Linked DNA regions of Sus scrofa. The protein of the gene in region 2 interacts with the protein of the main gene of each other region in a pairwise test. Links are inferred from orthologs where the notes say so. Each region holds a gene or a part of one and is shown on either strand. Other genes may lie near its edges.

Evidence for each region.
Region 1: the proteins of CSDE1 (region 2) and HID1 interact in binary tests that used the Homo sapiens proteins (3 or more experiments, as listed by UniProt). The two-hybrid records come from large-scale screens. The link is inferred for Sus scrofa from reciprocal best matches to the Homo sapiens genes CSDE1 and HID1.

The regions. Positions count from the first base shown.
Region 1 is NC_010454.4:6,297,634-6,301,440, reverse strand, and holds part of HID1 (protein HID1), read right to left. Parts: coding exon 3,780-3,807; intron 3,243-3,779; coding exon 3,072-3,242; intron 2,676-3,071; coding exon 2,562-2,675; intron 2,003-2,561; coding exon 1,896-2,002; intron 1,664-1,895; coding exon 1,547-1,663; intron 1-1,546. UniProt on the Homo sapiens protein: May play an important role in the development of cancers in a broad range of tissues.
Region 2 is NC_010446.5:105,802,713-105,807,312, reverse strand, and holds the start of CSDE1 (cold shock domain-containing protein E1), read right to left. Parts: upstream 2,802-4,600; 5' UTR 2,649-2,801; intron 2,207-2,648; exon of another isoform or gene 1,321-2,206; intron 1-1,320. UniProt on the Homo sapiens protein: RNA-binding protein involved in translationally coupled mRNA turnover.

The DNA.
Region 1 (3,807 bases), on a different chromosome or scaffold from region 2:
CCCAGCTCCCCGGCCGCAGAATGACTCCCTTCAGGGATTTGTAAGATGTCAGGGGTCAGGCTTCTCATCTTACAGACGAGGAAACTGAGACCCAGGGAGGTTAATGAAGTGGCAAAGGTGGCCGTTTGCCCTCCGAGGCTGGTGACAAAGAAAACCTAGCCCAGCTTTTGACTGCAGCTGGTGGAGGGCGTCGCGTGGGTTCTTGCCACTTCTGGGCGCTGGGAGGGGGAAGGCTGGCCAGGAGGCCAGCAAAACCTGAAGGCTGAGGTGGGCCGCGTGGGAATCGGAGTCTGGAAGTAAGAAGGCAGACCAGATCCTCAGGGGCACTAACCCCTGTGCCGCCAGCCCGGCCCTGGGCACAGCTGGAGCAGGTGTACCTGCTCCAAATACTCAATCACACTATGTGACTCCCCCATGTACTTAGATGCCCCCCAGAGCCCAGGGGCACCCCCATGTGGGCCGGGTTCCCCCAGCCTTCAGGATACTCATTACACCCCCTGGACCCACTGTTAAAACTGTACTGCTGGGAGTTCCCGTCATGGCACAGTGGAAACAAATCCAACTAGGAACCAGGAGGTTGCAGGTTCGATCCCTGGCCTCGCTCAGTGGGTTAAGGATCCGGCATTGTCGTAAGCTGTGGTGTAGGTTGCAGACGCGGCTCGGATCTGGCGTTGTTGTAGCTGTGGTGTCGGCCAGCAGCTACAGCTCTGATTGGACCCCTAGCCTGGGAACCTCCATATGCCATGGGTGTGTCCCTAAAAAGACAAATAAATAAATAAACAAACAAACTGCTCAGTACAAGCCACGTGTAGCTATGAAGAGCTTAAAATGTGAGATGTGTTGTCAACGTAAACTGCACAGCAGATTTTGAGAGCTTAGTATGAAGAGGGAATGTAAAACACTTCAATAATTTTGTATATTGATTACATGTTAAATGCTAATATTTCTGATACACCGGGTTAAATGAAACACATTATTTAAACTAATTTCACTTGTTTCTTTTTTACTGTTTTTTTTTAATCTTTTAAAAAACCCATGGCATACGGAGGTTCCCAGGCTAGGGGTCGAATCGCAGCTGGATCCGCCGGCCGACACCACAGCCACGGCAACGCCAGATCCAAGCCGCGTCTGCGACCTACACCCCAGCTTACAGTAACGCCGGATCCTTAACCCACTGAGAGAGACCAGGGATTGAACCTGTAACCTCATGGTTCCCAGTTAGATTCGTTTCCGCTGTGCCACAACTGGAACGCCTCGTTTTTACTTTTTTAATGTCGCTACTAGAAATGTTTAAATTGCATATGTGGTTTGCATTATACTTCTACTGGACAGCCTGGCTCTAGACGGAGGTCGCAGGCAGTCACCCAGGGCTCCCCAATGGGACATTGGACAGCGCTGGCATAGGTGCGGCTGCTGTTATAGGTCACTACCACCAGAGGGCAGCATTTCCCACCAAATAAGACACCCGGCTCGTAAACGGCCTGGGCTCCGAGCTGCCTGGAACCAGGACGGGGAGAATGGAAAGAACAGCCAGGGGGCCCCTCACCTGTTCTCCGTGGAACAAAAAAACTGCACCCATGGGTTGGTGTTGCCACAGTCTGCAGCTGGGGGCAGGTACATGGCCTCAGAGAAGCAGGTCAGCAGCAGTTTCAGCAGCTCCATCCTTGGGGTGGGGGGGAAGGGGCGCTCAGTGCCTGAGGATCTCAGTCCTCCCGGAGGAGGGCATGTCCTCCCCGCCCAGCCCCAGCTCCAGTCCGTAAAGTGACTCCATTTTATCCCTGCGGGGCTGACGCTGGGTCACGGGTGGGCAGGGTCTCCGCTCCCTGAGCTGGGGTGGGAGGCAGGAGGCCTGGGGTCCAGCGACATCACGAGCTCCGGGCCTGAGAACTGCTCACCGGTTCATGTCGTGGATGTAGCTGGGCTGCGGGGAGTGAGCAAAGCCCACGCCAGCCTCCCAGATGTATTCACAGCTGTCCAGGGAGTGGATGTCCTCCGCCGAGTCCTGGGGACGGGGTCAGGGAGAGGTCAGGCTGAGGGGGGACCACCCAAGCCCGCCACTATCCTTGGGAGCACAAATCCCCCTATTCTCGAGACAGACCCTCCGAGTGCCGCGGGTGCTCATGCACAGGGAAGAAATGAATGTTCTCAGCCTCTTGAAGGCTCACTTTGCTTCAGTTTGGTTGGGGAGGGCGGTAGGGAGGCAGCACAGTGGAATCAGGTGCCCCTGGTGGTGGGTGGCAGTGGGGGGCAGAGAATACTCCAGGTCCAGTCCACGCACCCGCAGGAAATGAAAGGCCCAGGCCTCCTGTGTCCAAGCCCCACACCCCCACCCACCGCCCAGGCGAAGACAATGGGTGGTTTTGCCCAGCCTCCCGGATGCAGGGGGCAGGGCCCGCCACACAGCTGGCTCCCTTCCAGCTATGCCAGCCACCACCCCCTCCCTGGGACCATGCGTGCCAGGCAGCCCAGCCCTCCCGGAACAGCCCCTCCCCAAGGGACCTTCAACCGGCCCCAGGGGACCAGAGCCCGCCTCAGCTGGGGGGGGGCTGGGGGCCTCTCACCACAGTGCTTCTCCGGTGGCTCTGGACGGTGAAATCTGGGCAGAAGAGCAGGTCGGCGATGGCCAGGAGCAGGGACTCGGCCAGAGGCCGGGCGTTCTCGTCATCATCCTCGCCCTGCTTGGGACATGGCACCCATAGGCCCCCTCAGTCACAGCTGGCCAAGGAGAGGTGGCCCCAGGACTCGAAGGCGGGAAGGAGACAGGGTCTTGGTCCAGGCAGGCCCCCATGGGCAGAGGGATGGAGGAAGAGGTGGGAGAAGGGCAGGAAGTAGATGCTCATTCACCCCAAACCTCCTCAGGCAGAAGAGCGACAGCACACGGGGCTCTGCTGAGTGCGAGGGGCCAGGCGAGTCCCCGAAACTCTGGAGCCTCAGCCCTGCTGGGAATCACTGCCCACCCCCTCACACTGTCCCCGAAGAAGGGGATTGGAGGAATGGCTGGCCCTGAGGGGGTTCTTCCCCTGACACCACAACTCCAGCTCCCATCCAGCCCCCCAACCAGGCACACAGACCCCTCCTCGGCCTGCCCCGGGCACTGTGGACCAGAAGAAGCCCCTCCAGTCGGGGTCCTCAAAGATGCAGGGCAGCACGCGGGTGAGAAGCCGGCTGCAGTTCAAGACAATCTGCTTCTCCTTCTCCGAATGACAGCCGCTCTCTGCTCCCTGCACCAGCTTCTCCACAGCCTGTGGGGACAGGCAGAGAGGCTGGCAGGGTGGGGAGTGGGGATCTGGTGCTTGGGGTCAGGCTGGGCACTCCGGCCTTCAGAGGGGGAGAGGCAGCCGGGCCACCCTGCAGGGCTGCCTCTCCAGACAGGGTCAGCCAGCCCAGGGGGACCGGCCATGGGCTGGGGGCAGGGGTCGGGGTGGGGTGGCACCTAGAGCATCATGGGAATGAGACCCAGCCCACCCCGCACAGCGGAGACCTTGCTGAGTAACTGCCCATCTGGGCCTCACTTTCCGCACCTGTGATATGGCAACACAGACAGTACCAACCCCGGAGCATGAGTTAAATGAGCCATGGAACGTGCCACCCTCACACAGCCCTCACAGGGAGCGCTGCCATCATGTGCCCCCAGAGCCCAGCCAGGGGGAGAAGCAGGGGAAGTCTTAGGACTACCCCAAGCTGGGTGGGGCACATCCCGGGTGCCCGAGCCCAGGGCTGGGCCAGCTCTGGCCTCTCTGGGAGGGTGGGTGTGGCAGCGAGCGGCGGGCACCCCTCACCTTGTAGCACAGAGTGGCCAGGTTGGAG
Region 2 (4,600 bases):
CTGTAACTGAAAACCAATGGAACTAGCAGGTTCAATGTGAATAAACTGCTGAAAAATTTATTTTCAACTATAATGTTTTACCTCAGCATAAAAGAACATATTAGAATGCTCACAAAATAATCATTCAATACACTATACTTAAAATACCCCAAACAGAAAATGTCACACAATGGAAATATCTAACAATTCCTCAGGCTTGGTAGTATGAACTGAAAAAGTTTTCATTTTTCTTTTTAACTAGATGTTCACACATGCAAGTGGAAAACATTTTAATACCGAGACAAAGGAATTTTAAGAAATCCTGATTTGGCACAAGAATTTAAAAGCAATAAATGATGGGAATCAAAACAAGCCACTCCCACCACAGCAGTTTCATCACTGAAGACATTCTAGCTATTTGGTCTTAAAAAACAGTTATAGTTCTTCTAGTTTAATCATTATGAAAAATCGTACAAATTTTACAGCTCTCTATAAGACAGTCTGGGTCAAAGATATCAAAGCAGTTTCCTCTTCGTTTTCTGAAAAGTCTAAACTAAGAAAATCAATGCCCTGTGTTTATTTAAAAAGATCTCAAGATTTTCATTTTGTAGTACAGTCCTCATATTCAACGCCTTAAAAATCTATCCACATTGCATTTCCATGTTTAAACTTCCTTGTCAAAGGTATAGTTCTCACAATAATGTGAATGAATTTAATGCTACTGAACCATACACTTTTTTTAAAGTGGTTAAAATGCTATATATATGTATATCTTACCACAACTAAAAAAAAAATTCTTTAAATGTTGTACAGCCCTGCAATGTCTGTCTTTAGATGAAAGGAGGGGAAAACAGGAATGGGATAAAGCAGGACTACATGTTAGCTTTCACATTCTCATTTTTGATTTGCTAGGAATTTACCAGAATTTAACTATACTCTGAAGATCATACTTATTAAGTCAGAACTTATTTACAAAAAAAGAAAACCTATCTTCTGTGCCTCAAATACTTTACTTTTCAACTCAGCTGCTATAAATACTCATCTCAAGAGTAAACATCCAGAGCAGCTGCAAAATCACTCAAACCACTACCATCTTTTATTTCGGGCCTATGGCTAAAAGGAAAAAAGAAGAAACATGGCTGAAAATTTATCAAGATTTTATGACTCCACCCCTTTACCTACACCAACAATAAATACACAATATTGATTAGTACTAAAAGGACACCAAATTATTTTATTTCCCCTCAATATAGTATTGAAAATGCTTCAAACTAAAAATGAAAATTACTCAGCGTTTTGATATGGAATAACTTATATTAGTGGCTATAATTTGGTACTTACATTTTATTGATTTGAAGCTCTGGCCAAGAGCTAGCTGCCAGTTCGAACCATTCTGGTAAAAAGCTAAGTCCTTCAGATTTAAATATTTAACTATCACAGTGCCTTTGGGCGTTCTCCATCCCTCTCCACGCTGTCCCTCAACTGTTTAAAAAGAGGACCACATTATTCTGCTCTTTTAGGTGCAAAACAAGGAAATCAATCGCACAATGTTCAGATTTTTTATTTGCAGTCTGAGATCTGTTTTAGAGAGCATACCCTGCCTCACTTGAGAGTCAAGCAAGAGAGGAGCCATCTGAATGTTTCTAAAGGAAAACCTTAAAGCAAAAACACCCGTGGCACTAAGATTTCGGACTGATGAAACATCGGGGGTTAAAAACCTCCAAAGTGTCTCTGACCAGGGCTCTAGAAAAAACTAACTCTACTTAGAATGATGAAGCCAAGCCGATCTTTGCACAATGTGGGCCAGGCTCCTGCACCATAAGAACAAGAGAAGGTGGTAAGAACTCCATTGACCTCTCACAGAGTTCGCCCCAACCCCAAGGACAGGGGGTGAGAGCCATGTGCCTAAGGGGTTGGTTCCTTTTCTTAAGAACCTAAGGGAGGCTTAGGTGGGTGTTGAGACCCAAGACAGACAGCTCTAGGTGAATGGAAAGAAGGACGACAATTTGGCCGCGCTACAGTGCCAGATGTGGCCGAGGAAAGGGGGTGTCTCTAAGCACTTAGGTGGAGTGAGGTCTCAGTCCGTACACAAAGGAGGCGCCACTACCGCAATGCGCTCTGGTACTCGTAGTCAGATGCCCAAGCCAGAAGGTGGCAAGAAACTATGGGGTCCAGAGTCAGAGCAGGCCCCTCTCCTCAGCCTCCGGCTCTTCCAGCATCACACAAAGGACCGCGCCACCACCCCCTCACCCCGCCCGCCGGGACTTGTAGTTCCCGTTCCCCTATCAAACCACAGAGAAGGACTAAGCCAGACTACAACTCCCAGCAGCCTCCGCGCCCGAGCCCCGCACCCCTGCCTCCATCTTGGCTGCGGTCGGAGCCTCCATTTTCGCTCCCTCCCCCCACTTTAGTCACCACCACTGCTACCACACGCGGCCGTCGGGCCTCGATTCTTCTCTTCGACTCTGCAACTTAACGTGAGGCCTAGACAGCCGAACTAGGAGGGAATGGAAAAGCCTGAGGTAGGGACTCAGGCTGAGTTCTTTCCTACCCGGAGCTCTAGGAGTGCCCAATCTAACTCTGAAGTCTCTCCCGTTCGTCTCGGTCTTCACATCTGCCTTTAGCCCGGGTCCTTGCTGCCCCCAATTAGACCCTGAGGTCGTACTTACCCCAACAGCTCAGCGCCCCCTCTCCAGCGCCGCCATAAGCAGCACGGCCCGGTACGTAGGAATAAATCTCGCTTCTCTCGCGAGAGTTGCGGGCTCCGAGCGCGTGCACAGGAAGGGGGGGTGGAGCGTATCCCTAACACGCCTGCGCACGAAGGAAGAGTGACGCCAGCTTGTACCCTGCATTTAACCACAACCAAGATGGTGTCTACGTTCCCTAAGATTCTCTACCCCGTGAGCTGCGGGAAACAACCTCAGTGTTTGCTGACTCCGCTGGGACGCAAGGGGCGGGGCGGCGGGTGACTTTTGGCCTCTCTTAGATTTGCACACCTGAGTATGCTTCAGGCAGAGAGACCTGGGTAAAACAGCCGCGAGGGCGAATAGCTTGGAGGGCATATCAGGAATGTCATATAAAAGATTTCTCTTTTCCGAGAGATAATCCCGAAGCTCCTAAACTCCAGTTTCTTTTTATGTACAGTGTAAGCTTTCTCTCATCTGCTGCTTTAGACTGGAGTTTTCATTAGTATAGAGTTGGTTTTTAGCAAAGTGATTTGGATGCCTTAAGTGAAAAATTTGTCTCCCACAAACTGTATTGTGTGCAACAGACGGACAAGAGGGAGCAGGGTAGCATAATCATTAAAAAACTCCTTCGGAGATCCCGTCGTGGTGCAGTGGTTAACGAATCCGACTAGGAACCATGAGGTTGTGGGTTCGATCCCTGCCCTTGCTCAGTGGGTTAACGATCTGGTGTTGCCGTGAGCTGCGGTGTAGGTTGCAGACGCAGCTCGGATCCCGCGTTGCTGTGGCTCTGGTATAGGCTGGCAGCTACAGCTCCGATTGGACCCCTAGCCTGGGAACCTCCATATGCCGCGGGAGCGGCCCAAGAAATGGCAAAAAGACAAAAAAGACAAAAAACAAACAAACAAACAAAAAAAACCCCAAAACTCCTTCAACTGACCTTTCAAGTTACCAGAAGATGTTATTAGTGTGTCAGGTAATCAAAGAGACTGAATCAGTAACCAAAAGGTTGAAATCAGGGCAAATGGATGATTCATCCAAGGGAGAAAGAGGAAAGGAAGAAAATGGTTAATTCTGTCCACAGAAAAGTTCAATGAATTATCCCTTGACAAGCTTTAGAGCAGTTCCCTCTGGTGAGAGGAATGCTTTTCACGTATTCTGTGGCTCTCTTACTTGACAGTGTTGGATCAAAAATGACCAGTTACTCTTCTGAGAACTCTCCCACCCATTTTATTTTCTCTTTGAACATATATTTGTCTGGCATCTCCTAAGTGACATCGCTGGAATGCATACAGTAGTAACAACAAACGGATATGGTTCTGTCCTCAAAGAATTTGTAGTCTAGCACCATTCAATAATAAAACAAAATCTAAACATACGCATTGAAATAAGTGCAGGGAAGGACAGCGTATAACCTCCAATTCTGAGCAAATCATCTTGAATTATAAGAGGAAGCAATATCCTACTTCTGATGTTCAAAGATTTTTCTCTTTGCCTCTGTTGTTATTGGTCTAATCTCATTAAAGAGCAGCCTCTTTATTGCCTTCCCACGCTTTCCCAGGAACACATATTTGCTTCACTTTCAGTGCTTTCACAGCTCATTCTACTATAATTATTTATACTAGCTAGTGATACTTTAGAACAGGACTTGTGACATTCATCGTTGCATCACTGGTTCCTGACAACACCTGGCATAGACAGCTCTCAAAAGCTTGTTGAATGAATAGGACTGGACAACAGTGTAAGTTGTTTTTAGAAAGTGGAATGTTCAGTTGGGAAGTACAGAATATAAATATATCAAGCTAGCTCTTCTTTTTTTTTCCTTCTGATCTCTCTGCAGCAATAGATCTAGTTTGGATATTCTAACCTAGTGTTACAGAGAAACTGTCCTGGGCTCTTGCACTAGAAACAAAGTCATGTGAAGCTGAGCTAAAAGT